Linked DNA regions of Xenopus tropicalis. The protein of the gene in region 1 purifies or fractionates together with the protein of each later gene. This does not show direct contact. Links are inferred from orthologs where the notes say so. Each region holds a gene or a part of one and is shown in the gene's direction. Other genes may lie near its edges.

Evidence for each region.
Region 2: the proteins of srek1 (region 1) and rnps1 purify together in Homo sapiens (affinity purification with mass spectrometry; 3 studies listed by BioGRID and IntAct, counting the BioPlex papers as one, with this or other methods). This does not show direct contact. The link is inferred for Xenopus tropicalis from reciprocal best matches to the Homo sapiens genes SREK1 and RNPS1.

What each region holds. Positions count from the first base shown.
Region 1 is NC_030677.2:187,484,121-187,499,600, reverse strand, and holds the start of srek1 (splicing regulatory glutamine/lysine-rich protein 1), read left to right. Parts: upstream 1-6,067; 5' UTR 6,068-6,271; coding exon 6,272-6,396; intron 6,397-10,098; coding exon 10,099-10,232; intron 10,233-15,480. UniProt on the Homo sapiens protein: Participates in the regulation of alternative splicing by modulating the activity of other splice facors. Inhibits the splicing activity of SFRS1, SFRS2 and SFRS6. Augments the splicing activity of SFRS3.
Region 2 is NC_030685.2:21,735,249-21,751,025, forward strand, and holds rnps1 (RNA-binding protein with serine-rich domain 1), read left to right. Parts: upstream 1-5,465; 5' UTR 5,466-5,583; coding exon 5,584-5,585; intron 5,586-9,153; coding exon 9,154-9,309; intron 9,310-9,423; coding exon 9,424-9,618; intron 9,619-9,867; coding exon 9,868-9,970; intron 9,971-10,983; coding exon 10,984-11,137; intron 11,138-11,467; coding exon 11,468-11,612; intron 11,613-11,707; coding exon 11,708-11,807; 3' UTR 11,808-13,772; downstream 13,773-15,777. Other genes in the region: uncharacterized protein LOC100490582, read right to left, coding at 582-902, 2,137-2,253, 2,902-3,047, 3,464-3,896. UniProt on the Homo sapiens protein: Part of pre- and post-splicing multiprotein mRNP complexes. Auxiliary component of the splicing-dependent multiprotein exon junction complex (EJC) deposited at splice junction on mRNAs.

The sequences.
Region 1 (15,480 bases):
TGGCCTTTGTGTAAGGACCCTTCAAGGATAGGTCTTGTGTTTGCTACATGAGTCCTGCGTCAATCCAATTTTTCCAACTATGAAACACGCCTCGCAACCTGCATTATAGCCTGATTGTACCCACCACCTGACCCGAACTGCAACTGCCTTATCTGCAACTCGCGGACCACCATTAAACTGGAAGTGTTGTTGCTGCAGACCGGGAGTAACATCATCAGAAGTGGGTAAGAATTGAGAAAAAACATTTAAAGGGGTAAACTATGGACAACAAAAGGACCTGCAGACTCGCATCTCTACCACATCCAAAAATCCTACCTGCAACCCACAGGGTACCTGCTTTTGGTTGCATTTAACCTGTGGGTACCCGACCTGCTGCAGGACTCTACTTGGCCGAATAACCTAAAGGGCGATGTATTTAGGGGTAGTGGCATGTATGCTGCCAAAGACTGAACTGTGCCATTATTCACCCATCTGGATCCATTTGTGGGAACTGTCACTTTTAGGCTAACGTCAGACCAAGCATTTTCTGTGCTGGCAGAAAACATGCAAGTGCAGTTTCTTAGTATTGACAGGAATGACATTCACCTGGCACTGCACGGGGATAATTTTTGGCTCAAAATCATTGCAGTTTTGGCATAAGGCAGTATTAACATTTTCTGCTCAAGTAGAGAAAATGCTTGGTCTGACATTAGCCTTAGAGACTTATTCAGTTGGCTAGCATGTTCTTTGCTAGTTAGCCACATTTGTCCCATGTACAGTTATTGTTTTGATGAATTAGATGCCCAAATGCATATTTTATTTCTTACATAAATGTTACTGTTTTTGCTATATCTGTGTGTTAGACTTTTATTCCTGGGGGGGCCCCTTAGGTGCACCAATCAATTAAGTACCAAGTTTCCCAGTCTCCAGTAGTGACAGGAAAGGGTTAGAAGCAAATCAAAAGAACCAATAACTGATCAGGCCTTTGTCAGACATCACCTGGTAAGGCTAAAAATCCTTGGAGGGCCACATGAAGACGTGGATGCGCTGCTCTCGATGGGTGCCCCATGTGATCCAATTTTTGATCTACAGACCAATAAAATCAGATCGGCCTGATCTGGCCCACTTCTCTTGTTTTCAGTTTTGGCAACGATGCATCCTTTTGGTGAGCGTGGATCCCAATATTTTTTTTAAATACTTACTGTAAATCTAGATCCCCTGCTATAAATCAGGACAGAGCTGATGCAGGTTTCCAGAAACAAATAGTAACAGTGCCTTAAAGGACAATGAAAGGTTAATAAAAATTAAAAGTAAGTCTAAAGGCATTCTTTTTAAGTACTTACTGCATATCTAAATTCCCAGATCCCTGCTTGCTTCTCTGAGATATGGTGCTGGCAGCCTACAGCAGTGTGAAGCCTACAGTGACATCACTGAAATCTCTCTCCCCTTCCTGTAGGTGCCAGCGGCAGCCTTCCTATTCTCTGAGCATGTGTGTAACTTGATCCTGTCTCCTGTTCTGAGCTACACATGCCTACCAACCAATCAGAAGCGGATCTGGCAGAGGGGGAGGGGGGGAGGGAATGAAACACATGTGCAGTATGAAGCAAGGAGGGAAAGGAAGGGAGAATACCTTTTTAGAGATGGCTGCCTGTTCTAGAAAATGTGAAGTAAGTGTGACTGAGTAAATATTTGATTAGGTGAGCCAAAAGTGTGGCGTTATTACTAAACAATAGGAGGACTATTGGGCAGTATGCTTTTTACATTTTGACTTGCATTCTCCTTTAAGTACCAGGAAAAAGAATACCACGTAAAATTGTAAAGTGCAATTTATCAAAACAACATTTTACGCAATATATGGCTTTGAAACAATTTGATTCCAACAACAGTACCCCATTAACCAATGCAGTTGAAAATAAGTCTTATTGGTAAATATATCATTCATTTATTGATTTAAAACCTAAGGGGCCAGTTTCTCAATAAGGTAGCTTTGGCTGAGACATAGCATTAGATACGGTAAAACCAACCATTGTAGATTTAATCATTTCAATAATTGAATAAACTGATTCTGCCAAAAATCCTTCTGGATTCCCATGTGCCGCAATGCGCATTGAAAGCAAACAAATATTTCACATACATCGTTACAACTAAAATCATCATGCAGATATTTGTGCCAGTGGCCTATGGTAAAGCCAGTAATCATTTGCAGTGATGCAGCTTGTAATAATGTTTACGGCTGGTATTTAGTAAGGCTGTACATTTAAAAGGCACAATATACCCCTTTGTGTACTTCTATGAACAGTAATGGATCGGGGCCTTAGGAATGTGCAATGAAGCTGGAGCTGACAGTAAGGTCCCTGTGCTGCACAATAACGTGGGCGCTTCCAACACTACGCATTGTTAGAATCTCCCGGCCTGCGGAACCTTACATTAAACTTGCCAGTGAGATGCTTCTAACAGTTGCTAAACCGGGGGTAGGATTTAATGAGCCCCGATTTTTTCATTCATACTTTGCCCTGTGTTTGGGACCTGAAGCCCCACAAAATAATAGCACTTTCTCTAAATGAAGAAGGTCTGCGTTTAGCTGCTGAATTCAACAGAGACCTGCTGTACAAAATATGCTGTCTACATCATATTAAAAGGAATTTTAAGATGAACTACCACATTAAAAAAAATACTATACCCCTAGAATGAAAACTTAACCAATAGATAGTTTATATCATAATAAGTGGCTTATTAAAGAATTTTATATATCAGTAAATATTGCCCTTTTATATCCTTTCCCTTGAGCCGCCATTTAGTGACGGGCTGTGTGCTCCCTCAGAGATCACCTGACAGGAAATAATGCAGCTCTAACTGTAACAGGAAGTAATGTGGGAGTAAGACAGAACTCTGTCCAGTCATTGGCTGATGTGACCTAACATAACATATCTGTGTGCTTATTGTAAATCCTATGATCCGGCCCTTAATTCTTAAAATGGCAATTTTCTATTTAGCATTACCCAATAGCACATACTTCTAAAAAAGTATATATTTTTTTTATTAAAAAGGTTTGTTAGATGAAGCAGAGTTTTATACATTGTTTGGGGTATTGATTTACTTTAAAGAGAAAAGTTAAAATCACTAATGTTAGGTGATCATCTCTTCTGCTTCTTCATTATTTGATAGGCCCAGGCCCAGGCCCAGGCATGCACAGTAGAGTCGAAAAGCTGACAGGTGCAGTTTTTTTTTTTTTTAAAGAAAAGGAAAGGCTACATCACTGAGCGGTGCAGAAACCTGGTTTTCATGCAAACAAAAGCCAGAAATGTAAAAATGGGCACCTACTTTGAGGCCACTGGGAGCAACACAAAAGGGCCGTCATGTTGCCCCTGAGCCACTGGTTGAGAATCTCTCTTTTAAAATAATGAATTGAGTTAGTTTTTTTTAATAACTAGGGTTGCCACCTTTTTGGCAACAATAGTACTGGCGGGATGGGGGAGGGATCGCGAGGGTGTGTGTCCGTGACGTGGGGTTATGAGTCGATGTGTCACCAGCTGGATCACAGACAGTGTCGGACTGGGGTGCCAAGGGCCCACCAGAAGACCTTAGGCCCACTCTCCCCTTCTCTGTTTACTAACTTTCTTTAATCTTTAATCTTAATTACTTCACTTTACATTCTATTATCTATCCTTTCCTCCATTTCTTCTGTTTCTTCTCTATGGTAAAGGCATGGTTGGGTGAGCAAGAGGGCCCACTTACACCTGGGCCCACTGGGAGTTTTTCTGGTATCCTGGTGGGCCTGTCCGACACTGATAACAGAAGACCTTTGTAAGTTGGGCAGACTTCTCATGGCATAGAGAGGGCGCTGGGCAAGGGACTGTGGGCGGATCAGAGGCGTGGCTGGGGCGGAGAACTAGTTATGACAAATTTACCTGCAAGTACATTGCCATTACATTTTTTATACTGGCAACCCTAATAACAACTTCCTATTGCAAATACACTTCTTCAGCAATAAGGGACATGAGGAAAATACAGTGGCTTGCAAAAGTATTCGGCCCCCTTGAACTTTTCCACATTTTGTCACATTACAGCCACAAACCTGAATCAATTTTATTGGAATGCCACGTTAAAGACCAATACAAAGTGGTGTACACGTGAGAAGAGGAACGAAAATCATACATGATTCCAAACATTTTTTACAAATAAATAACTGCAAAGTGGGGTGTGCGTAATTATTCAGCCCCCTTTGGTCTGAGTGCAGTCAGTTGCCCATAGACATTGCCTGATGAGTGCTAATGACTAAATAGAGTGCACCTGTGTGTAATCTAATGTCAGTACAAATACAGCTGCTCTGTGACGGCCTCAGAGGTTGTCTAAGAGAATATTGGGAGCAACAACACCATGAAGTCCAAAGAACACACCAGACAGGTCAGGGATAAAGTTATTGAGAAATTTAAAGCAGGCTTAGGCTACAAAAAGATTTCCAAAGCCTTGAAAATCCCACGGAGCACTGTTCAAGCGATCATTCAGAAATGGAAGGAGTATGGCACAACTGTAACCCTACCAAGACAAGGCCGTCCACCTAAACTCACAGGCCGAACAAGGAGAGCGCTGATCAGAAATGCAGCCAAGAGGCCCATGGTGACTCCCATGGGGGAGCTGCAGAGATCTACAGCTCAGGTGGGGGAATCTGTCCATAGGACAACTATTAGTCGTGCACTGCACAAAGTTGGCCTTTATGGAAGAGTGGCAAGAAGAAAGCCATTGTTAACAGAAAACCATAAGAAGTCCCGTTTGCAGTTTGCCACAAGCCATGTGGGGGACACAGCAAACATGTGGAAGAAGGTGCTCTGGTCAGATGAGACCAAAATGGAACTTTTTGGCCAAAATGCAAAACGCTATGTGTGGCGGAAAACTAACACTGCACATCACTCTGAACACACCATCCCCACTGTCACATATGGTGGTGGCAGCATCATGCTCTGGGGGTGCTTCTCTTCAGCAGGGACAGGGAAGCTGGTCAGAGTTGATGGAAAGATGGATGGAGCCAAATACAGGGCAATCTTGGAAGAAAACCTCTTGGAGTCTGCAAAAGACTTGAGACTGGGGCGGAGGTTCCCCTTCCAGCAGGACAACGACCCTAAACATAAAGCCAGGGCTACAATGGAATGGTTTAAAACAAAACATATCCATGTGTTAGAATGGCCCAGTCACAGTCCAGATCTAAATCCAATGGAGAATCTGTGGCAAGATCTGAAAACTGCTGTTCACAAACGCTGTCCATCTAATCTGACTGAGCTGGAGCTGTTTTGCACAGAAGAATGGGCAAGGATTTCAGTGTCTAGATGGGCAAAGCTGGTAGAGACAGACCCTAAAAGCCTGGCAGCTGTAATTGCAGCAAAAGGTGGTTCTACAAAGTATTGACTCAGGGGGCTGAATAATTACGCACACCCCACTTTGCAGTTATTTATTTGTAAAGAATGTTTGGAATCATGTATGATTTTCCTTCCACTTCTCACGTGTACACCACTTTGTATTGGTCTTTCACGTGGAATTCCAATAAAATGGATTCATGTTTGTGGCTGTAATGTGACAAAATGTGGAAAACATCAAGGGGCCGAATACTTTTGCAAGCCACTGTAGGTTGCCAAACTGTTTTCATTGGAACCCTGGCCCTATCCTAAACCGCAAAGGCAGCTACAAAATCTCCACCATACAAAGGGCTGGACAATCAGCTTTGAGTGTAATGAGGTTTAACTAGTGAAATGCTCTGTCCCTCACTTTCTATGCTTATCTGTGGGTTTATTGGTACCCAGTGTAACACTACTCCCCCAGCTTCCCTACCAGATGTCTAATTTGGAAGCGATGTAGCAGAAGCCACAAGCTGCCTTGGCTGGGGAAGGGCTGATTGCTGCTACATTGTATCAAGACAAAGAGCCAGCAGGGCAGAACAGGACCATACAGAAACTGCTTTAAAGCCGTAGTTTATTCACCATACAGAACTTTTATTTTCGCTTTAAAACTATAGACTGCATGCGTAATTGCGACAGTGCCGTTATAACGCTGGTTATCAATTACCCATGTTTAAATGGTGCGGGTACAGCGCAGTGCTAGCAGCACCGCCACTAACTTTTACTTTCCTAGGGCTACACTGGGAAGGCAGTGATAGATTCCTCTACAGTGAGGGACTGTTAGCGTTTCCGCTTCCGGTGGCGCTCTGCACTTGCCACTGCCTGTGCTTTGTGGTGGCTGCGCCGGAGCGGGAGTGCATCCTTGTTCGCTGCGCTCTAGTTTTGCAGCCTTTACCGCCGCCGCCATGAGCCCCGGGCAGACCACGGTCATTCAGGTTACAAACCTTTCTGCGGCTGTTACAAGCGATCAAATGCGGACTCTCTTCTCCTTCCTGGGGGATATAGAAGAACTGAGGCTCTATCCGCCTGAGTGAGTGCAGGGGCTGCCATACACATTGATGGGGGTGGGCTTCTCAGTAGCGGAGTGCTGCAGCGCTGAGCAGTGTTTGGCAGGGGTTGCTGGGAGTTGCTGTCCAGCTTCATTACCAGCTTTATAGCTGCAGGTGTTATAATAATAATAATAATAATATCAGTTTAAATCACCAGTATAAGGTATAGGTTTGTATTTGGCTGATTATGGCTACGGCCCAGGGAGTTGTAGTTCATCTGCACAGCTGGAATGTGCTAGTGCAGTCACATTGCCATAGGCTTTCTGTCATCTGCTGGTGATTGTATTAGTATTTCTTACCCTGTAGAATGGTACTCAGAGATTGTACATCATTCATATTAGCCCCTACACCACTGGAGCTTGCACTCTAATCCTCCTATGGCACTAACGCAGCCCCCACTGGAGCAGTTTTCACCAGAAGCCAGTGAAGCCGTGTGTATGGTTTTGGGCTGTGGGTGGAAACTGACCCTTGTGGAACCAAACTCCGGACTCCACGTGCAGGCAGATTGGTCAGAGCCTGGGGCAGTTATTAGTATTGCCCATCAAAGGCTTCAGTTTATCCTTCCGTCAGATGGCCGAACAACAGGAGGGCTGGGGGCTGCCATCTGGATGGAAATGCTCAGGCCACTGGCGGAATATTAGTATCTGTGCATGTGATTGCTGTTTGGGCCCACTCATTGTACTTATGATAACGTTTGTCTGAATAGTGAGCACAGTCAGCCCTGTAAGCTGCATATACCAATCACTATGGCACAACCTCTCATCCAAAACATGTTTAGAGCTGTAACTGGATACAAAATATTCCATTTTGTATAATGACAACTCTAAGAATTTTAAGTATGGATACACAGCCATTAAAAATATTTTCTTTGTCATGTTAGTAAAAGCCTGTGTAAGAAGTATCTGTTCGCTACATTGCTCATCTTTTTATATAGCCGGGCCAGTAAAATAAAAGCCAGGTGGCAAGTGTTTATGTGGGGTTTTTTTTTGTCATTTAAACCTCAGCTGCACTATATGGCCAAAAGTATCCAGACACCCTTCTAAAGTCCGGAGTTCTCTACTGTCACTTGACACAAGTTTTTAAAATGATTCCTCTTTATCTGTAATAATAAAACAACACATTTTACTTGATCCCTACTAAGATAGAATTAATCCTTATTAGAGTCTGGGTGTATGTTAATGTTTAGATCATTGGCCCTAGTAGATATGATTGGATCAGTCTGATTGGGCCGTCACATAGGTGGCCAGTTCAGGCCCAGATCCATTCAGTTGGCAAGGTCGCTTGTGTACAAGCAGCTTAAGGTATTTCACACTGGCATGAGTGATTTTGGATCAATTCTGGCACCTTGGAGCTCACATAGTGTTGCAGGCATGTTCCAGGGTTTAAAGGAACAGTAACACCAAAAAATGAAAGAGCTTTAAAGTAATAAAAATATAATGCACTGTTGCCCTGCACTGGTAAAACTGGTGTGTTTGCTACAGTAATACTACTATAATTTATATAATAAGCTGCTGTGTAGCCACGGGGGCAGCCATTCAAGCTGGAAAAAAGGAGAAAAGGCACAGGTTACATAGCAGATAACAGATACATTCTGTAGAATACAATAGTGTTTTATCTGTTATCTGCTAGGTGCATGTGCCTTTTCTCCTTTGAATGGCTGCCCCCATGGCTACATAGCAGCTTATTTATATAAATTATAGTAGACTTTCTGAAGTAAACACACAACTTTTACCAGTGCAGGGCAGCAGCACATTATATTTTAGTTACTTTTATACACTTTCATTTTTTGGTGTTACTGTTCCTTTAACAGAATAGCGTTAGCAGTGAATGGATGAACATGTGCATCTGGATGGGTGGGCTTTATAGACCCAAGACCACGGGTGCCCACGGGATGTAGATCAAGGTCTACCAGTAGATCACTTTAAGTTTTTGGTAGACTCACGATGGAGGCCAGATAGCAAGAGTAGATCACAGGGTGACAAACTCTGGGTACCCCTGCCCAAGACTATACATTCTAACCTTGCCACAGCTGTAGGGCATAATGCATGCCATGGCTGTGTGGGCAGAAGATTGCAGTATCTTTCTGCGGATTATTTTATTACAGCTTGGGGAAAAAATGAAATTTTCCTGGGCTTAATGGTTTTCAGTTGTACATTCCCTTCAGTTCCAGGGCTTTTGGATGCCTTACTATATATATGTGCCTGAGGATTACAGACTCTTGCATGCTGCCATGGTTTTGGTTAGCCACACTTTGTTCCAAATTGGAGCATTATTATGTAGCGTCCTGGCTCACTGGGGGTGTCACACTTAATAGCAGGCAGAAGAGACTTTTTAATTGTTTAAAAGTCTGCCTTTGTAGTGCAATACCTGCCTGCTGAATAATCTGGATTCAGTGCAATATAGGGATGCAGAGGAAGGAAAATCTAGAAGGAGAAATTTAGCTTTCCATGAATTAACCTTTTAGGGTATTATTACCAGATGTGGTGGGTTCTCAGCTCCTGGAGCAGTGACAGTGAGCAATCATACCCGTCTCTTTGCACAGTGGGGGGATTTTGGCCCAAATATGTTCTTGTCCAGGCTAAAATTTACCCCTGTGTGCAGTGGCAGGCACATGTAACTGAAGCAAAGGGCAAGGGCAGTTTTTACAGTGGAAACCCACCTGAAGAGTATCCATGAAGTTTAGCCATAACTGTGTTATGTAACTGCATATCCGAAAAATGTTATGATCTTGTCCCTTAGCAGTTACATAACTCCTACTCTTACAGTTTTTCCCCTGCTGAAGCTAAATCCTTTCTCTTTAATCCCAGATGGCGACCTCTTTTTCTTTTCTGTATTCCTGTCAATGACAGCATTCTATATATGGTAACTGTCATATGGCACAGTGATGTAATTATGTGCTACGTTCAGTGACTCACATTAACTGTAAATTATAATGGATCTTACACAGATAATATATGTCTTATTGTTTGGTGTGCTCCCTCAACATAACATGTTTTTCATTTTTGCCTGGGCAACCAACTAAATCTGATTTAAATGTGAACTAAAGCGAAACAAAGAAGTAGGCTAAAAATGTTAAACGTTTTATTTTGGACTTTTTTTTTTTACTAGCCCAAGGAAACCACAGCCCTTTAGCAGGGAAGGTCTGTGCCCTCAAAAATGCCCCCAGTAGCCTCGATCTTCTTTTCTGCTGATTCCCTGCCCATACTCTGTGCTACTGTCACTTACCTGAGCTTAGGGGCCTTCTCACATTATACTGTATATATAGAATAATTCAAAATCTCATTACATGGCAGCTCGGAAACCAGTGCGTTTTGCATCAGCATTTAATAATCAGACCTGTGGCATCAGTTTTTATGGCAAGTGAACTTCATATTCTGCTGACTATTTGCAAAAACCCCTAAGCTAGATGTGCCTATGTGATCCTTGCCTGCTATATATGCTGTTTGTCTGAGGCAGAAAGCATAAGTTCTATAGCTGTGTCAGAGACATGTTTTTAGGTTGAGGAAGTGCAATAATCATAAAAGAACATAAAATATTAAAACTTCAAAGTTAAAACATCTACTTTATGGGAAAATATTTTCATGGTCCCTTTAACATTTGTCAAATTGCCTTTTTGTGCTTTATCAGATGTAATACTATTTCTGTGATGCCCAGACTAATTGTGTGTCTCTCTTATTTTTCAGCAATGCTCCTCTTGCATTTTCCTCCAAAGTTTGTTATGTTAAGTATCGCGAGCCTTCGAGCGTCGGCGTGGCCCAGCACCTAACTAACACGGTTTTTATTGACAGAGCTCTGATAGTTGTGCCCTGTGCAGAAGGTTGGTATTTGTGATGCTTTTATGTGATGTCATTGTTCTGTTTGTGCTTTCCAGCGGGTGATGTCATGATTCTCACATATAACTTCAATCAAATCCAAATGAAAGCAACTAGTATACAGCATACACCTACCTTGATTTCAGACACCCCCTTCTGTTACATTTGGGGTGAAGAGACACAGAGCTACTAGTAGCAACTACTTTGTCGTGGCTACTAAAACAGACAGTGCTGATCATTTACTGATAATTGTCTCTGTGTGTTTTAGCAGAGGCAATTTTCAGTATTGTCTATGGCAGGGATTTTGCTGGCGTAGCCGTGAAAAAGTAGCTGCTACTAGTAGCCCAGTGTGTCTTCACCCTTAGTGAGTACAAACCTAATACACAGAATAAAGCTACATGAATCCCATTCTTCTTTTCCACCCCTGTTTCCACCTATTGATTTGCTGGAAATGTCACATGACATGAAGTTATTACATTTACATATATGTATATTTGTCTTTCAAAAGTCTTTGTTGCATTGCTTTTTATTGGCATGCATCTGCTTGCTGTACATATACAAGGGCGATGCATCACACATTTACACAAACTTGCCTGTGTACCTGCGTTAGCAACTGCTTTAACGGGTCAAGGCTTCTTAAGGGGACCTGTCCTTTAATGACATACAATGTCCCTGAGAGTATTGTGGGGGTAAAACACCTTGTTTGACTTAAGACCTAACAGGCGCTTTAGAAGCTGGCATGTCTTAAAGGGAAATTTACTTAGCAGTTTGCACACAGGAAGCACTTTGCAAAGTAAATAAGAAGTTGTGTGAGATGCATTGAGTTAACTATTGAGGAGGAGGTGTTGGTATATAAATGTCAGCTGGGGCTCATTTCAGTCTGCCTAGCAGATGCCAAATATTGTGCTATAAAAGAAGGAAAGGTTTGCTCACATTTGGTGCTGCTAAACAAACAAGTAAATGATGCTGGTGTATAAAAGCTGCAATCACAGTACCCCCACAGTATCTGTAACTGCTTCCCATAGTATTCTATGGCAAATGCACAGCTTAGTGCAGAAGAAACTGTGGCAGCCGGACCTCCACTAACATTCTAGCTTCAGCATCTTTTAGCAGAGGTCCCTCTGTCACCCCCACATGCACTACTCTTATAGATTACACAGGGAATAGGGAGAAGTGGTTGGGGCCTTTTGACCACCTCTGTTTTCTTCCTGAATACATCACAAAACCCTATGTGCCATTGTACTTTTAAAGTTTGGTTTTACTAGACCTTTGTTGTACAGAAGCAAAAGCTTTGCTGTTTTTATTATCTTGTTGGTATAAAATCCAGTGCTAGTGTAATGGGGTTAATTTGACGTAAAGATGTGTAAAGCTCTAATTGGGTGTAGCTGACCCAAACCTGGACCCACAACTTAATAAATACCCAGCTTATTCCACTATAGGTTAAACTGCCACTGCCAGATGTTTCCTTATACTCCTAGCAAAATTTATAAATACAAATTTTTAGGCCAAAAATAGTGTCCATAACTACATTTTGATGTCTCTTTTATATGTGTGAAATTTCACTCTCACTCTTTCTCTCATTCTCTCTTTTCCTTTCTTCCTTCCAGCCTTTTTCAGCTCTGTCAGATACTTCTTATAATATTACTGATATATTACACATTTTTGGTTTTGTATGGGACACTTACTACGGTCACCCCTAGATACAACAGTTGCTGAGCATGGTAGCTACTAATGGGGGCTACTAATGGGAAGCATGTACCCCATTAATACATTTTACAACTTTATACAAAACATTGCAAGGCTTTTCAGTACTTAAACAATATAAAAACAAACACAGGAATTCCTTGTATTAATGCTTCTCTCATTTACATGCATATGGGGCTGCCATAGTGTCTTGGAGAATATCAAGTTGAAACCATTATGGACTGCACTAACAGTATCCGAGTAATAACCAGCAGCTCTGTGCGCACTCTTACCCATAGCCCTTGCTCTTTTTGGCGATCTTTTTGAAAAATAATTTCTGTTTAAGATGGTGATACACTATGAGATTTGCTTATTAAGGGAGGTCACACCAAACCAAGATCTTTGCCACCAGTGAGTCACATTGGGCTATTGGTCCTGTCGGAGGAGCAACACCTCAGAGCACTGATGCAGCCAATGTTCTTATTCACTAAGGGGGGGGGGGTATTTATTAATACTGGAGACAAGCATCCCCAGTAATGCTGCCCATAGCAACCAATCAGCAATAAGGTTTAAATGGTAACCTACAAGTTAGAAAACAAAAGCAAAGATCTGTTTGGTTGCTATGGGCAACTTCACCGGTGATGTTTGTCTCTAATGTTAAGAAATACGCCCCTAAATCCCTTAATAACTAGGCAGGTGTCTTTAGACATAAGGCTTATAACGGGATAACTCCTAGAAAGATAACAGAGAAGTGACCTGTGTAGCTTTGCATGTCTTTTACTGATATAAGAGGAGACATTGGCTATATGCTTTACTGCTTCTCACTTAACTGGACTTCTCCTAGACACTGATTTAATTGCAGATCCATTCTTGTATATTATTTGATGTATTAGTACTGATAACTGGGTTTGGTAAAAGTAAACAGACATCTTATAAGTTTTTAAAGAATTTTGCCTTTTCTCCCCCCTTAGATTTAAGAAAAAGCTATAATTAAATAAACTGGAATATTTCTTTTTATATCCTATGGTACAAATAGGTGCATTTATTCATAACAATGGAGGGAAGTCAGTCAGCTTTAAAATTCCCTAATAACATCTTAGCTTGTAAGAGTTTATGCCAGTAAATACTACTAGCAATTAGGTGTGTGCTGAGCTCCAGCTGTCTCAGCGTAGTAGAGAATTGTAGGCTTTTGGGCCAAAGGATGATTATGGATAGAGGGCTTTGTCTGTGCAGGACATTATGTTTTTTCCATTATATGTTCATGAGTCTGTAAATACAACGAGATCTTGAGTAGGCTGAATCTATAGCCCCCCCCCAGGCCCCTTAGATAAAGGGCTCTGATATTCTATGGTGGATATTCCAATGGTGTGTTTAAATGTACAGCTCTGGAGAGTTTTCCCATTTGTATATGTCCCAGGCATGAATGCACATATTTACTGATTGACCTGCACATCCTGGTGTATCAGGACACTGGTTTTTAAGTGTTGGTTCAAGTCCCTCTGTGGTACAGTGTTTGGTCAGGGCTCAGTTAGCTCAAACCAGGGTTACAGATACACAAAAGTATTGATGTTTTAGATGTTCAGCCATTGTTTGCAGAGGATAGCTCACTTAATTACCTTCAAGTTTGGCATGTGGGATACCAAATAGGCATTCTCCCCTTATTTCAACCTAACTAGGCTGTAAGCTGGACTTTCCACCCCTGGTCCCAATGTACACGTTAAGCCATACATTTTAAACTTGTATCTCTCTATCCAACAACTTGTTGGATGATGCTGAATGTACAGTATTCACCTGACTTTTAGCTTGCAATGGGTGCTGATTGGGACCCCCATAGATAGCACTTGCTTTCCCATGGTGACAAACATCTTAGATTTGTTTGTTGCATAGGAAGTTGTAGCATTGGGACCTGTGAAGTTGCAATGGCAGTAGGGGACCTTGGCTTCACAATTGTAGTTCTTCAAGCTTGTACAAACTTTTGAGGCATGGTGCAAGTGTCCGTAGGTCCATCCAGTAGTTTTAAAAAGCAAGTACTTCACTTGTTTGTTTGTCTTACTGCTAAGGTTTTTATTTTCTAATTAAAATTTTGAATTACTGAAGAGTTTACTGCTTAACCTATACAAGGAAGTTGGTCAATGCTCTTATCAATGAATACACACAGACACAGCATCAAATTAGTAGTGAGAACCTTCAAGTTCTATTTTTTTTTTTAATCCATCAGGATTTAGATATAAGGGCACACAAATATTTATTTTGGTGGTGGATGTGCGTCATTTAACGATACTTGCAGTATAAGTTAATGTAAATATTATTAGTAGGCCCATTGCACGGGTTTGTCATTATTTCATCTATGTAGGCTAAGCCAGTGTTACTGCTGGGTGGGACATACCCTAAACAGTTATACAGAATAATAACTCAACTGCTTTTAAATAAAAAGGGGCTTTCACTGATATTTACTAGTCATCTGATCCACTCTTGTACATAGGTTATGGCTGTCTATAGATACAGAATAGTTCCGAAGTATGTATGTTCCACACACTAGCCACAGTTGTATATGGGCACAGCACAAGCTAAGAGAAGCTGCTAGCCATAGAAAAATAATAAAATGTTAAAGGAAAAATCAAATGTCCCACAATCTGGAATTGAAAATGCAAAGTGACTTGGGTATAGTTTTCTCTTAGGGTACATTTCTTTTTTTTCCCTTCCTTTTGTGCCAATTACATTTCTATGCTTGTTCCAATGAAAGTAAAGTGAATACTAACTGCCCGTTATGCATTTATTACATTGAAGAACACACAACAAACATTTTAACCATTTTCCTAAAATCAGATAATCCTGACTCTTCTACTGTCTATTTAAGTATAAAATCTTGGTTTGTCTTACATCCTCCTTTCCCATGATAAAAATACTGTGATAGTAAAATCCATTTGATGTACTGGGACTAGTGGGAGTGGTGTCTTTACTCAAATAAAATCAGCCAACTTGAGCAACATTTATGCCCTTCATTTTCTTTTTTTTTTTTTATGTCTGCATTTCACAGTAGACAGAATTTTAACAATTTGGTTTTGTATGTTTTTTTCTGTGTGATATATGTGCATTATTAGATGACTAGCCTGGCCAAGGCAGACCTGTTACACTTGCCTGAGTAAGGCACTGTTTGCCATGCCACTAAACCTGCCGTCAAGGGAAAAGGGAAAACTTCATGTGAGGATGAGCTCGGAGGCTGTGGCCGAAGATGGACGTCCTGTCTCTGTTATTTTGTTTTTGTTTCTTTATTTTTTTTTTTTCTTCTTTTTCTTTTCTTGTTTTTTATTTTCCTGTACATTTTATTTTGCTTCTTTGTGTTTTTTTTTATTTAAATCTAGTGTCCCTGCTCTCCCTCTTTTAGATTAACACAAGGTAGGCTTTAGTTCATGTTAGCTGTGCTAATAATGTGAATAAGATTAATTTACTTCTATGTCATTTTCTCTCAACTTGATGCTTCTTTTGACGGACTGTGGCTTGTGGCAGAGACAGCACGATGTGCCACCCCTTCTTACTGGTGACAATGTAGGGCCTATTTTGCTATTAGAA
Region 2 (15,777 bases), on another chromosome or scaffold:
TTACTATTTAGTGTGCCTTAAGGTCCCCATACACGGGCCGATTCTAGCTGCGATATCAGTCCCTTAGACCTATTCGGCAGCTAATCGGCCCCTGTGTGGGCACTACTGACGGGCCTGCCCAACCGATATCTGGCCTGAAATTGGCCAGATCTCGATCGGGCAGGTTAAAAAATCGGCTCGTTGATGCAGTCCCCGGACCGACGTTTCCTATGCCCATCATTATAATTCGATTGTTTGGCCCCAGGGCAAAACAATCGAATTAGCCTGGATTTTCCCGATATTGCCCACCTGTAGGTGGGGGATATCGGGAGAAGATCCGCTCGCTTGGCAACATCGCCAAGCGAGCGGATCTTAAGGTTTATGGGCACCTTTAGTCTTTAGCCATTTAAACAAACTAAAAGTAATGCAAATAGGTCATATCATAGATATATATATTTCTTTTTTAAAAAACAAACTTGTAAATACAATTATTAGAAACTGCATACAATCTGATCTGTTCCACTGATCATATAGTCCAGTTCAGCCACGTGCTGCCAAAATCAAGGCTCGAAACCTACAACAGTCCACACAGTCAGTTCACTTTACAAAAGTTCCATCTTAAATGCGCCCAAATCAGGGAGTGTTGCCTCCATTTGCTCCCCGGCACCATAAGTGCGACAGTTTTCAGTAGCCTTGGCTGTTAAGGTAGCTCCCAACTGCTGAATCTGCTGCAGCAACTCCTGGTGGTTGTTCTGTTGCTGCCTGTGTTGTTCTTGTTCCCAGCGACTCTGCCGGTCCATTAGGGTCTGTATGGTCTGTGTCAGCCTGTGAATGTCCCCTCTTACTGTGTCCAGTTGCTCTGCACTCATGGTTGGCCTTGGTGGCGGAAAGGACAATGCTGTCTGTATGCTGGCATCTTTCACCTGAATGAGATAAGCAATAATATTAGTGCATGTGGGGCCAATGAAGTATGCACACAGCAAAATAGATTTGTAGTCAGGCTGAATTTCCCTTTTGGCCAGGTAATTGTGCCGCACATACACATACACTATACAGTAGTAATGATGTGCTTAGACTTTCTCATATATAAAAAGACTTCAGTTGCAGCAAGGGTAAAATCTTTTTGAGGCCTTGGGTAGGATAACAGGTAAACTCCCAGGGCAACTTTTAACATAATATAGGCGGGTAATTTTCATTGGTCTTCATTTTTTTGTAGTGTGGGTTTTGGAATTATTTAATATCTAGTTTGGAATTGCAGTAGCTATGCGGTTGCTAGGGTCCAATTGATTCTGACAACTACGCACTAGTCTGAATAAAAGACTCGAAGATGAATAGAAGTGGGCCTGAATAGGAAGAGAACTATGTATATGTATGCATAATGAAAGAACAACCATAAAATTGCAATAGGTGTTTGGCAGACAAAAAAGGCAGATAATTCAAAACCTATAAAAAAAACTAAGAAATGGGGACCAACTGAAAAAATGAAACAGCACAGGCCACATATGAAAGGGATTGTTCACCTTTGAAGTGACTTTTAGTATGATTCTGAGACAATTTGCAGCAGGTTTTCAATTTTTATTATTTGTGGTATTTCGGTTATTTAGCTTTGCCTACAGCTGCTCTTTAGTTTGGAATTTCAGCAGCTATCTGGTTGCTAGGGTGTTGTTTACATTACCAACCAGGCAGTGGTTTAAATGAGAGACTGGAATATGAATGGGAAGAGGCCTGAAAAGAAACAAAGAATAAAAAGTAGCAAGAATAAAATTCTAAGCATACAGAGCAATAGTTTTTTTTTTTTAAGCTATCGAGGTCAGTGACCCCCCATTTAAAAGCTGGAAAGATGTAGAAGGCAGCAAATAATTCAAAAACTATTAAAAATAAATAATGAAGACTAAATGCAAAGTTGCTAGAAATAAGACATTCTATAATATATTCTATAAAACTTAACTGAAAGGCAACCCTCCCCCCCATAACAGTTAACATAAAGATATTACGTTTACTATTGTTATTTCTGGGAGCTACGAGTGCCTACCCAAAGGTCATGAATGAGCTAAAGTAGCTAGCCCCCAGCAATAGCCCTTGCACTGCCAAGCAAAAATAAAAATGAGAAAAGAGATAGTTAAAAACACAAAGAAGTCACATTTTTAGTTCACCTACCTGCTTGGAAGGTACAGAGACTGTTCTTATACTGGGAGGATGACTGTCAGCGTAGGTTCTGACTGGGTAATGTGTTCCATTAGCAACCATTTGGGCTCCATTCTGAACAGTAACCTGCTAACAAGTAAGAACATGTAATTTACAAAGAGCAATTGACTGTGAGTTGCAATGGTGCCTCAAAATTCTCTACAGTTAAAAGTACCAAGGGCAACTAAAACCAATAAACCTACTGTACTCAACATCGAGTAATGCAACACCTTATAAGTAAGTAAAAATAAGGTTGGCAACTCAACTATAAACTCACACCATGTGATCCAGTAACTTAGAATGCTTAAGTTAGCAACCCTACTATAATAACGATCATGTGATCTGGTACCTTAGGAAAAACTAGGTTGGCAGCCCTCCTATATGCACCACATATGTAATCTGCCACCTTAGAAAGACCAAATACTACTTCTAAGTACCACCGTGTGATCTGGTACCTTAGAAGAGGTTTGGATGGCACCCCTACTATATGCACCCAACGCCTCATCTAGCACCAGGAAGTGAAGGTTGGAAAACGATGTGATCAAGCATGGATGGAAGGCCTCCTTTGATTCAGCACCTCAGGAAGCACATAACTGCAGCCCAATCACAAACACCCATCAACTGATCAGGCACCTAGTAAAATCTTAGCCTGGCAACCCCATTAACACACATCATGCAAACAGCCTGGGAAGCTCAGGTTAGCAACCCTACTAAAAGTGCCCCCATGAGTTCTGTTACCTTTTTCTGAAGGTGGATAGCTCGATCCACTATCTTCTTGGTTACCAGCAAAGCCGGATTCCTAGGAGCAGGGACGGGAGTTCTTGCTCTTCCGTGAAGCTGTGGGGGAGCCACCGGCAGGCACTGCGCTGGTCGTGGCCCATTAACTGTGAAATGCACATATGATCAAAGGTCGACCCCTGCAGAAGGCTTTTTAATGCTTTTGTGGTTTCCATTTTGGTTATACCAAAATCTATAAACAGATAATTGTTTCTCAGTCATCAATATAAGTGCCATCTGCCATTGATAAAGCCTCGCCAGGGTGGGATGGCAGTTTCCACTACTAAGCATGATATATATATATATATATAAATATATATATATATATACATACATACACACCGATATGAAAAGCTAGTGCAAGGGTACATCATATAGTGTTGTGAAGTTTTAGCTAACAATAATGTACAACAAACTCACACTTTACTGGTCAGAAAGATTAACTTTTAGGAACTCATGATGAACCACTGCAAGCCAAAATGCAAAATGGCATCAATGGGTACTACAGAGATATTGCACTCACACGTTTCTGCTGGAGCCTGTCCTTGGGATATCAGTCTCTGGTTGCTGGAAGATGCCTGAAAGGCATGGTTACCTTTGGATAGAGAGGTCACACTCACTATCTTGATACCTTCTTCCTGGCTGACCACTTGCGGTACCCTGTGTCCAGCATCAAGTTTAGTCTCTGTACTGGCTGGCTTCTGCCCAGTCTCCTGATAGGGAGTCCAAGGCTGGCGGTCTGCCCATGGCTGTGCTCTTGGGGGAATGCTTTGGGTCTGGTTGGCAGAGGATGACTTTTCAGGTTCAATGTTCTTTCTTTTAAGGAAGAGATAGATGGCTTGTGGTGTCACCTTAATATTATCCAACTCCAGAACTTTCTTTATTTTACGAAAGCTTAACCCGGCTTTCCTCAAGATCACAATCCTGTGCTTCGCATTCTCATCCAATCGCCCCATATTTCTAGCATTCAGCAAACTTTACGGGGCTGAAATAGATTGAAACCACATCCGTCACAAAGTTTTGCGATTAATCAAAAGTCTCAGTGCACTGATCTCAATTAAGATCCACCCACAATCCAATCAAATGTGGATGAAAAATATTGCATTAATAACCAGTGGTGCTCAATCTGGGTTCTAAAGCCAGTGGTGGTGCTAAATCTTTGGGCAGCAGAACCACTCGGCCAAGCTGATTCCCTTTAATAAACCAGTCGCTGGATTCTGATTGGTGGAAGGTGATGCAGTTATATTCCACCATGACCTTAAATTGGATCCTTGTTGTATTCGGTTTCAGAAGTTCTGGCCCCAAGATATTCCACCTGCTAAACAGGTACTTTTATTTCATTGCTTGCAACTAATGATCTGAAGAAAACAGGAGGTTGGTGTTAGAGTCATGAATAAAACCAATATCATTTCTCACTACATACATTAGGACACAAGTAATTCTGACCCCTACCCATGATAAAACTGCCCAGTCCTTCTTTATACGCAGTCATCAGAGATACAGACACCCACTCCTCATATGGGAACATACCTTTCACTTCCAACTAACAGACATCAGGGCACCTACCTCTCACCTCCTCCTAATACATCCACAGAACCTGCTTCTCTCCCCACCTAATAAAAATAGGTCAGGGGGCTCATTAAAGGTGATGCTGATACCAATCAAACCCTTCAGGCAGGCAATTCTGTGTTGTGAGTACAGTAACTGACCCTTTAAGTTCTCTGTGGATTTGAGTGTAGCATTAAAAGGAATATGCACCTTATTTATAAGAGGGGAAATATTCCCTTTATGAGAGGACAGATCAGAACAGCTTCCCTCCAAACCTTAGGGACCTTCTGGAAGGTTCAATGAAACCTTACTGAATCCTGTACAATGTATACAAACCTTATGCTTGCCCTAGGCGACCTAAGTAAGGTTTATGGATGCCCTTTATAACTCAGGCAAACCTAAGGGTTGCCCTGGGCAACTCTAGCGGGACTTATGGTGGCCTTGACAACTCATGCAAACCCCCTAGACAGCCGGGTTTATGGGGGTTCCCAACAACTCAAGCAAACCTTATGGGGAGCTAGACTAGTTGCACTCTTTTTTCCCAAAGGTAAAGGGTCACCCTTGCTTTTTGTCACACTCACCACCTTATGGGCCCCAAAAGTGCGACGAGACACGTAAAGCAATCCTCCCATCCGGAAGAACTAACATCCCTGCACCTCTCCTAACACAGGCCACACTTGCCTTTATAGCGGCTGTCCCTCGCACCTATCTATATACCGACGCGTAGTTGTACTTCTGGCACAGTTTCTTTATAACCATATCGCACTTAGTGTTTGTTTACGGAGCAAAACAGGAAGCAGCATAGGTTTCCGCTCCGTGCAATAGACATACACGCACACATATTAACCCCGTCACTCCTAGAAATGACAATTACTAGTAATGTTCCTGCTGCAACTCGGGACTATCCTACTTCTTTAAAAGGCTGAATCGCATTTGCGTCCGCTGTTGTGCCACGCCCACGTCCAGCAATGTGTGACGTCAGCGCCAAGGCGACCAGAGTCGCTTATCTTTTGTTTCAAGATGGCGGCGACACGTCACAACGAACGCGACGGTTTATCTGATCTTAGAAGGGACAGGCAACGAAAGAGCGGCAAAATGTAAGCGGAGCTCCATAATCTTTTTCCATCCTGCAGCGCTGCTTTCCGTACGAGTTGGATATTGGTGGGACGGTGCAGGGGAAGCATGGCGGGTTCTATTCACCGATGTATTGATTAAGAGAGAGCAGGGTGGTGTTTGGGATTGGCCCCGAACGCAGTACCGAGGATTTATGGGGGTATAGGCCGCAGCTGATTGGATACACATATCGCTGCGTCTATACCTTCCTGGGGAGTTGTTTCTTCTGCACACTATTCCCTTTGTATATGGGTTTGGGCGATTTCTTCTTTATGTAAAATGAATTCTTTCTGAGCTTGCACTGGTTAAATTGTTGTGTTTATGTAAGGGGACAACAAAAATGGCTGCCACTGCTTGACTGCCCCCGTCTAGGGAAGGCTGCCTTGTATTTCTCTCTGGGTATATTCCCTCAATGTGTATATGCTTTGCACTGGATTTTTTCATTCATTGATATGTGCTGCTGCCCTGTGGGTTTGCTTACGTTTTGTATTGGGGCACCATTAGTTTTAGTGCTTTAATATATGTATTAAATGTCTGGAAAAACCTTGGGGTTCTTGGATCTCCAGTAATTCTGTATTTATATAACAGCAACATTATACTCCATTTACATCAGAACCTGCCCCAGTCTAAGGGTTACATATAAACTCCTTGTAGATAGTGACCCCCAGCTGGAATTGAACATTAGGACCCCAGCGCTGCCCAAACGTACTATGCTCTACCCCATTGTTATTAAAGGAACAGTAACACCAAAAAAATTAAAGTTTTTTTTTAAAGTAATTATAATATAATGTATTGTTGCCCTGCACTGGTAAAAATTGTGTTTGCTACAGTAACACTACTATAGTTTATATAAATAAGCTGCTGTGTAGCCATGGGGGCAGCCATTAAAGTTGGAAAAAAGGAGAAAAGGCACAGGTTACATAGCAGATAACAGATAAGTTCTGTAGAATACAATAGTTTATCTGTTATCTCCTATGTGCCTGTGCCTTTTCTCCTTTGAATGGCTGCCCCCGTGGCTAAACAGCAGCTTTGTTTATATAAATTTCTGAGGCAAACACACCAGTTGTACCAGTGCAGGGCAGCAGTATATTTTATTATTATTTTTATACATTTTCATTTTTTGGTGTTACTGTTCCTTTAAGTGCCACAGTTGCATGGATATAGGTGTTATAGGGCCACCATGGCATTTTAAATCCCCCCTTCCTTGTTTTCTAATTGTTCAACTTATCAGGATAAAGGTTTCAAGTGTTGCCTGCAAATTAATGAGGAGGGATTAAGGGCTCTGGTACACGGGGAGATTAGTCGCCCGCGGCAAAACTCCCTGCTCGCGGGCGACTAATCTCCCCGAGTTGCCTTCCCTCTGCCATCCCACCGGCGAACATGTAAGTCGCCGGCGGGATGGCAGACGCGGCGGCGCGATTTCGCGCAAATCGCCGAAAAAGACTCGCGAGGCTTTTTCGGCGATTTCCCGAAATCGCCTCGCCGGTGTAAGTCGCCGGTGGGATGGCAGAGGGAAGGCAACTCGGGGAGATTAGTCGCCCGCGAGCAGGGAGTTTTGCCGCGGGCGACTAATCTCCCCGTGTACCAGAGCCCTTAAGGAGAGATACAATACAAGGTGGTGGCCATAGCTATGTTGTACATATATGCTTTGAGGTTGGGGAGAGTCTGAACCACACTGACCTGCGTGTTTCCAGTACCCATAATAAAGCCTCCATCTGCGTTTACACAGACCAACATAATTTAACTTTTAATCGCTGTAATAACCGGTACATGTTACTCCCACTTGCATTTTTCAGCTGTTTGACCCTGTATCACCCTTACAGGAACATTCTAAAAAAAAAAAAGCAGTTGCGCACCAGATGAAGTGCTCAGCTGTACGCGGCTTAAAGCGGAAGTCAGCGTTTTATTGTAAAGGTCTGATTGGTTGCTATGGGTAACATCACCACTGAAGTTTGTCTCCAGGGGTAATAAGTACGCCCTTAAGTGATTCTCCAGAATGGCCGTCCTGCTCATAATTCAGTAGGCAAGTGTGCACTGCATTGGCAAGCAGGGTACTCAGTGCCCAAGAACCCCCAATACCCAGTTGCACCAATGCTGTAGAAGGTTTGGAGATCAGCAAAGGAGAGATTTTCATCAGGAGTGCAGCACTGCTGGCTGGGTACTGGCTCTTAAGGCACAAACCCCTATAAGAAGGCACTTTGGTTCCCAGAAGCAGCCACATAATACAGCACTGACACTCCACTAAGCACTGGAAGGCATTATTTTTCATGGGAGGAATCGGGTTTCTTGTGCTTCAGGCTGCTCTAGGTTGGATAATATAGTTATTATTAGTTGCCTTGAAAGTGCCATCTCCAGGATATATGGTACCCCCACTCCAGTGAATATAATCACTTACCTGATACTCTGGGCCAGACATCTGTGTGCTGAAGAGTGCACCAGCCTGGGGCTTAAGAAAAGATTGCAGTGTGGCACTCTTACAGATGTACCCTGGGCCAGTGCGTTTTTCAGCAAACAGGAGCACTCGCCTGGGGTATTAGCAAAGCGTTGGCAATTACTGGAGTGCACCTAACATTTGGCACCCCCCAGTGATTATACATTTCCTTCTCCTTTAATCCCATGCACCCCACCAGTTCTTTAGCCCTACCATCCTAGCGTATCACCTGGAAGCACATTCCCAGAGCTGCCTTTTACTCGCCCGTGATAGATCTCTGTTATCGAGGGCATCTAACCACTCTGAAAATGCCTTTCCACTGGCAACAATAGGAGTTTCCGGTGGAAAGGCCTTTGCGTCGCTTTGGTTTTCTGAGCTTGCCTGCAGGAGGAAACTCTGCACAACTTCAGAAAACCAAAGCAATGTGAAGGCCTTTCCACCAGCGATTCCTGTTTGTGCCAGTGGAATGGTATTTCGGAGCCATTAGTTGTCCCCGGTAGCAGGGATTTCTAACTGTCTGCTAACACATTTCATGGGACATCAGCCTAATGTCACTAGGCATTAGAGTGTTTCTCATCACAGCATGCTGTATATGATTAATGAACTGCATCTGAGCAGCAAGATGGTTTTTCTTGGGCCAGTATCAGCCGTCTGTTCTTGGCCAAGTTTGTTTGATTAGACAGATATCAATTGGAGGGCTAGAAAATCCTGTCTGGACTATATCTGGCTGTGGGTGTGGTGCTGTCCTGGAAGGGGTGCACGGGCTCCCTATGTGGCATGACTGTCTGGGCTGGGGTCGATTTGGACTAGCACTTGTCTTGACAAATCAAGCAAACATCTGCGTGTGGCTGGATTTGGGCTTTATTACTTGTGGTTTTTGTTCATGTACAAACTAAATAAACCATGATTAAAATATAGAACCAGGGGATGTTAACTGATCAGTTATTAAATTCATGTAGGCAGGATTTTTTTATATAATAATGTTGCTAAGCCACCCTAACCATGTCATCCTAAATGGTTGTACAAACTTAGCTTGGATGCTGCCCATCATCCGGCCAAAATATTGACACAAAACATGTTGCTACAGGGCTCTAAATTTTCTTTTCCTCTGCTTATCCCAGGGCTCCTTCACCCAGCAAGAGGAAGGAACGCTCAGAAGACAGAGCAAAAGATAGAGGCAAAGAGAAAGCTCCAGGGAAAGAAGGCACAGATAAAGACCGCGGGCGTGATAAAGCAAGGAAGAGGCGCAGCGCCTCTAGTGGCAGTAGCAGCAGTAGGTATGTGGCAAAAGAGATGTCTTAACACATTTCTTTCTGTTAAACATGGGCATATGAGGAAATATTAAGCTACAGTTGATGGTTCTTACAGACTAACCATGCCTTTCTCCCCAGCCGTTCCCGCTCCAGTTCATCCTCCAGCTCATCATCAGGTTCCAGTTCTGGATCCAGCTCGGGTTCCAGTTCTTCATCTGCTTCCAGCCGTTCAGGAAGTTCCAGTTCTTCTCGCAGCTCTAGTTCCAGCAGCTCCTCGGGTTCCCCAAGTCCTTCTCGGCGCCGCCATGATAACAGGAGGCGCTCCCGTTCAAAGTGAGTCTTTGTTCATATTTTATTTTTTTTGTTCTTGAATGATGGAGAATGTCATGTGAGCTAGCACTGGGCAAAGGGACAGGGTGGTAGAAGTATAAGTAGCAGTGGTGACTTGTCTGACTCTGCATGCCAATTAAATTTCATTGGATGCCTGTTTGATCTAAAAGCTTATTCTGCAAGCCATATTGGAGGCCTATTAGGTCGAGAGTCAGTATGAACACTTATTTTTTTATTTTTTTTTTTTAATAGATCCAAACAGCCAAAACGTGATGAAAAAGAAAGAAAACGACGGAGCCCAAGTCCCAGACCCACAAAAGTTCACATTGGGAGGCTGACAAGGAATGTAACTAAGGTTGGTGTGCCTTATGCTAACTGTGTTTTGCTTTTCTGTAGTTTTTGCTTTGCATGCACAGACTTTGTACAGAAAAACTTTTATGTTCTGCCTTCCCAGTGGAGGAATTTCCCAAGGCGCCGTTCTCATTTAAAACCAAAACCAAACTTCAAACCAAAAAGTTTTTAAAACTTTTAAAGGAAAACTATACGCCTGAACAATGTAAGTCTCTGTAAAAATATGTTGCACAAACAAGCTCATATGTAAAACCCTGCTTCATCTAAATAAACCATTTTCATAAAAATTATACTTTAGTATTATGTGCCATTGGATAATCCTAAATAGAAAAGGGCTGCCTCCTGGGATCATATGATGCACATAAACCAAGCCACACATACATGATAGGCCACTTCAGTCGATAAATGGGGCAGAGTTCTGTTTTTTTACTTCCACATTATTCTAGTTTGGCAAGGTTCTTTAATAGGTCACTTAACATTCTATAAATTGTTAAAGTATTTATTCTAGGGGTATAGTTTTCCTTTAAATGCCTACTGATATAATATGATATTGACATTTGGGATATGCTGGTTATTGTAAATATGATTGAAAAAGAAACGATGCATGGGACAATCTGGGCCCCTTCAAATTACTTGATCTTTTCCTCTTCTGTGAAGGGTCTTTGGGTAGTGGGCAGCCTTTCACACAGTTACATATTGTAGTAGTGACAGCTGACTCTTAAGTAGGTTCTCTTCAAGGCAGGGAATGCAGTTACTCCTGTGGGCAGCTGTCTGCCACCTGGGGCCAGATGTTTGTCGTAAAAAAGAGATACTACAAAACCCAGGAAAAATTCAAGACCGTCCCTTACAGGGCAGCATTTGGTGCATCCTTTCACCAATCTCTGTATAATGCACGTTGGCATAGTTTTGCTTTCACAGTTTTTATGATATATCACTTAGATTTGGTCTAAAACATTTCACTTCCTTATTCTAGTAGTTTAGGTAAACTGAACTTTATGCCTCTCCTCTTTCCCCAAGGACCATATTCTAGAGATCTTCTCCACATATGGCAAGATTAAGATGATAGATATGCCTGTTGATCGCTACCACCCACACCTGTCCAAGGGCTATGCCTATGTTGAATTTGAAGCTCCTGAAGAAGCAGAGAAAGCTTTAAAGCACATGGATGGAGGTAGGAGGGGTTTTCCTTGATAACCCATTAACTATATATAGTTCTTTTGACAGATTTTACGTATTTGTTTTTGGAATGTGGCATAGAGGGCGTTTTGGTCAGTGATGGGTGCAGATCGCTCATGGCACTTGTGCTGATGATAGCGACCTGCATTTAACAAGGCATCTTTGGTTAGTGCCAAATAAAATGCCCAACTAGCCACTGCCCTTAGCTTATTGCATAGTCCAGGCTAATGTTTAGATGATTAAATAACTGTTAATATGCTGACTTATATAAACAAAGAAGATACAAGCTGCCTGCCAATGTTTTTTTTATTCTGTGTCTCATCAGGACAGATTGATGGTCAGGAGATCACTGCTTCAGCTGTTTTGACACCGTGGCCTATGCGGGCAATGCCCAGAAGGTTCAGTCCTCCTCGGCGGATGTTGCCACCTCCCCCGATGTGGCGGCGATCACCACCACGCATGAGGAGAAGGTAGATAATCTCCATCCAGCTGTGTCTTGCTACTCCGTTCTCTGTAGTGTATACAATGTGTATTTATGTTATCTAATAAATTCCAACCTCTGCAGGTCACGTTCACCTCGGAGACGCTCCCCAGTAAGACGCCGTTCACGGTCACCCGCACGTCGCCGCCATCGCAGTCGTTCCAGCTCCAACTCCTCGCGGTGAACATGTCGTCCTCTCATGCCCCTTCCCTCCCACACCCTCTGCAGTCTGACACCATAAATCTTTCTCAGCAAAGTTGGCTGGAGTATCTTCTATTTTTCAAGTTTCTTGAAACTGTTCCTTGTATAGCAGCATCCTGAAATGATAGGTCCAAAGTGAGAGGGTGGAGACAATATTGAAGTAGGCATTGGCTGCCAAGGGACCTACAGATGTTGGCCTCCACCCCCCAGAATCCCACTCTCAGTGGCATGCTAGCAGCTCTAAACAGGATTGAAATGCATTATCTCTGTAGCTCTCTAGTGTGGAACTGAATCTGTGGCTGCTAGTCTCAATGAAGGGTTTATGGTAAAGGGGCTTAATAGGATATGCAAGAAATACTGTCTAGCCTCATAGCCTTGCTTACCCTATCTAGTGGACTGATCAATTCGCTGCGGCCCTGCTGATTCCAAAATTCATCCTTATATTATAAATCACAAATGAATGATTTACTTTCCTCTGCCTTTGGCTAATGGCGCACATTGGAGAGAAAAAAAGGAAAAAAAGTCCCTGTGAAATGAGGGATTGCGAAATTGCACCTTCTCACTGTTTAATGCACAGCTATCAAGGTCTCATGTTGCATAATACTAAAACGTAACTTTTATTCCATGTAAATATCATTAAAGTCCGTAACCGTGTATATACATTTTAGTACATTTTTAGCAGCTCCAAACTCTCAAGCTGACCCCAGTGTGCTTATTATCTACCCCCTTCCCGTCTCCTGCTGCGAATGCAGCATTATTGCTCTCCTTCTAGCGTTATGTTGGAGTTCATGGTTAATGGTGGTCACAATTTAACATTAAATGTCAAAAAATATCTCTAAATTTGGGGCACAGTTTAAGGACATAAGGAGAGTGAGTTCAACATTGGAGATGCTGAGATTCTGACTTCTCTATATACCCTGGGTTACATTCATTTTTACTGGCTTTAATGATCTCACATGGAATAAAGTTAAGTTTTAGTATTACTGTATATGAAACCTCAATGATTGTGCATTAAACAATCCCTCTTAAGGAGTTCTCCTTGTTTTCTCCATTTTTACATTTTGGGATATTTATGTGCACCACAAATTACTATGGGGGTTATGTAATAGAAGGCACTAAGTGTACCCAGGTACAGTAACTTATAAGCAAGCATCATTATTGGTTGCTATGGGTTACCGCTACTGGGCAAACTTAGTGCCTTTTTTCACATGTGGGATTATGTATTTTCTCTGGGCTGTGGTGCAGAGCCACACATCAACGTGGGGTTGCTTAGCTGGCTGCATTTGGGGTTTTTTTTTTTTTTTTTTTTGCTCCTTAAAGGGCACCAATCATGGCCCCAGTTGCTGCCTGATGCAGTTCCATGGGAGTTGCCCACAACTATGTTTTCACAAGATTTCCATAAGCAGCGATTGGATGGCAGGAGGGTGACGAGAAAAGATTTAACCATTTTTAAAAAGGGATGTGAAAGCGCCCCAATGTTGCTCCACGTGCAGCTGGTTTTTATTTAAAAAAAAAAAAAAAAAATCCTGAAAGATACTGTTTAGTTTTTAAGAAGCAACTGTGTTTTCTTTAAGTGACTCCCAAACCCCCCTGTGTAGGTTCTGTAGGCTCACAAAGCAACATGGGTTGGCTGGGTCTGACCTACAAACCTTGGCAACTGGGAGTTAACAGTGAATACACCTCTCTGGGCAGGGCCAGGACAGCCGCCTCCTTACAGCTGCTGGGGAACACCGCTCACTTCTGAGCTGAGAGTTGTAGTTTTGCAGCTGTGGGAGCTTCCTGCCTGTCGCTGTGGAGTTCAGTGCTCCATAAATATTATAAATGGGGATGGGAAATATAACCTGTACAGTTGATATTCTACTGTGTTTTGTTTTTTTGAAGTTTGTTTTATAATATCTGTTCCATGTCTGTAGAATAAAATACGGAATAAATGGAAAGAATTTTTTTTTTTTTTTTTTTTTTTGTCTCTCTCTTCCCCTTACAGCTTTTGCCCATGTCTTGTTTGGTATCTTATTGCTTTCACCTAGAATCTCCATTACCTTTAAGGTGTATATGTACTAGATATACTCTGTATAGCAGGAATGGAAATTTGAACGTTTCAGTCGATGAAGTAAAGTACAACTCCCAGCATCCCCTGATAGCCTTGCCTGTTATTGGGATTCTGGGAATTGGAGTTCAAGTTGCTCACAGCAGTCACTGTTGTCACTGACCAGAAATAGGCTGAGGTCCAAAAGTATGTCCATGGGTGTTTGGGAATAATATGCAGTTCAGCATATCCTCATGGAAAAGCCAAGGCAGAAATCTGTCTCGCAATCTGTCAAAAAATAAAAGATGATATAGATACATTATTCATTTCTGCTGATGACTTGAACATGAAATGTAAACCTGCCCACTGGAAGGAGGCTTGAGGTTAACACTGGTGACCTTAAGAGACTGCCCTTGGGCTTTTTATTGCATTGCAAAGGGTTAATGCATTGGAAGAAGCTAGATGTTTGAACTGATGGGCAAAACCATAGGAATTGAGTATTTTCCCAGTGTCAGGGAAGGCTGCAGTGTCATTGGTCAGATAGGCAGGTGGGCCTGTACCAATCACTGCCAAGAAAATAGATCACATGACCAAGCTCAGCACCCTTGTAACCTCTGGTTATGTTTTCTTCTTTGCTATAATGCAATTCTACAGAAGTAGTTCTGTGATACTATGAAAGAGACATGTCATTAGATTGGGATTGTGACATAAATGGATGGCAACTTAAAGGAAAGGTAACAGTAAAATATTTTATTAAAAAAAAATAAACAAAACTACACCCTCTAAATAATACCCCTGTCCAGCTGCATTGTACTTATTTACCTACCACTTTGCCAAAAAATCCTAAATAAAACTCTTCACCTGAACACAATGTATTCGCTAGCAGTATAGTTTAGTATGTGAATAAAAAAAGACTAGGAGAATAAAGAGGCTGAGAGAGGACAGGGAGATAATAATAATTAGGAACATGGGCCTGTGGGCTAAAGTTTTCTGGTGGGCCCCTGCCATCCCAGTCCAACCCTGGCACACAGTGGGCAATGCAGTTAACTCTTAGTATAATGTAGAGAGTAATATTCTGAGACAATTTGTGATTGGTCTTCATTTTTATTGTTTGTTGTACTTTTTAAGTTATTTCATTTTCAGTTCAGCAGCTCTTCCATTTGAAATGTCATCAGCTGTTTGGTTACTAGGGTCCAAGTTACCTTAGCAACCAGGAAGTGGTTTGGATGAGAGACTGGTATATGAATAAGGCCTGAATAGAAAATAAAGTACAAAAAGTAACTAACAAAAAAACTGTAGCCTCACAGAGCAATAGTATTTTGGCTGCCAGGGTCAGTCACTTATACTAAAACCATACCTTAAGGTCTATATATCGGGCAAGTTGGAAAGCACTGAGCCGTTAAATAGTGACTACATCTCCCCCTGTTCTTGTGCCACACTTCCCAGCATCCCCTATTGAGAATGGAGATGTGGGGACAAAGGGGCTTCACTGCACCTGCCCGAGTCTCCGTGTGTATATCCCCATTAGTACTGGGCCCTTCTCTCTGTATGATTTAGTTATATATCATTATACCGACCCCAGTGAAGCTTGCACTCTAATTGCAGTCACAAAGTTGGGTAAATTTCATCTGCAGGTTATGAAGTGTGGAATAAGCAATGGAAGTGGGGGTGTCATGTTCCATTATCCCGCTCAGCATACGGTACTCATTGCATGGATCCAGATAAAACATTGCAGTGATATAGCTGTAATTCAGTTATGAGCATCAGTTGTACTGTTTGGGGGAGTTCATATATTATTCACCCCTTTTTATTGTTCTGCAGCTCCCATATTTTCAATTAAAACTGGTTGCTAGGGGCTGATTAGCAACCAATAATGGTTTATTTTCTTTCTCTGGACTTATGTACATGGAAACAAGTGCCCTTGGGG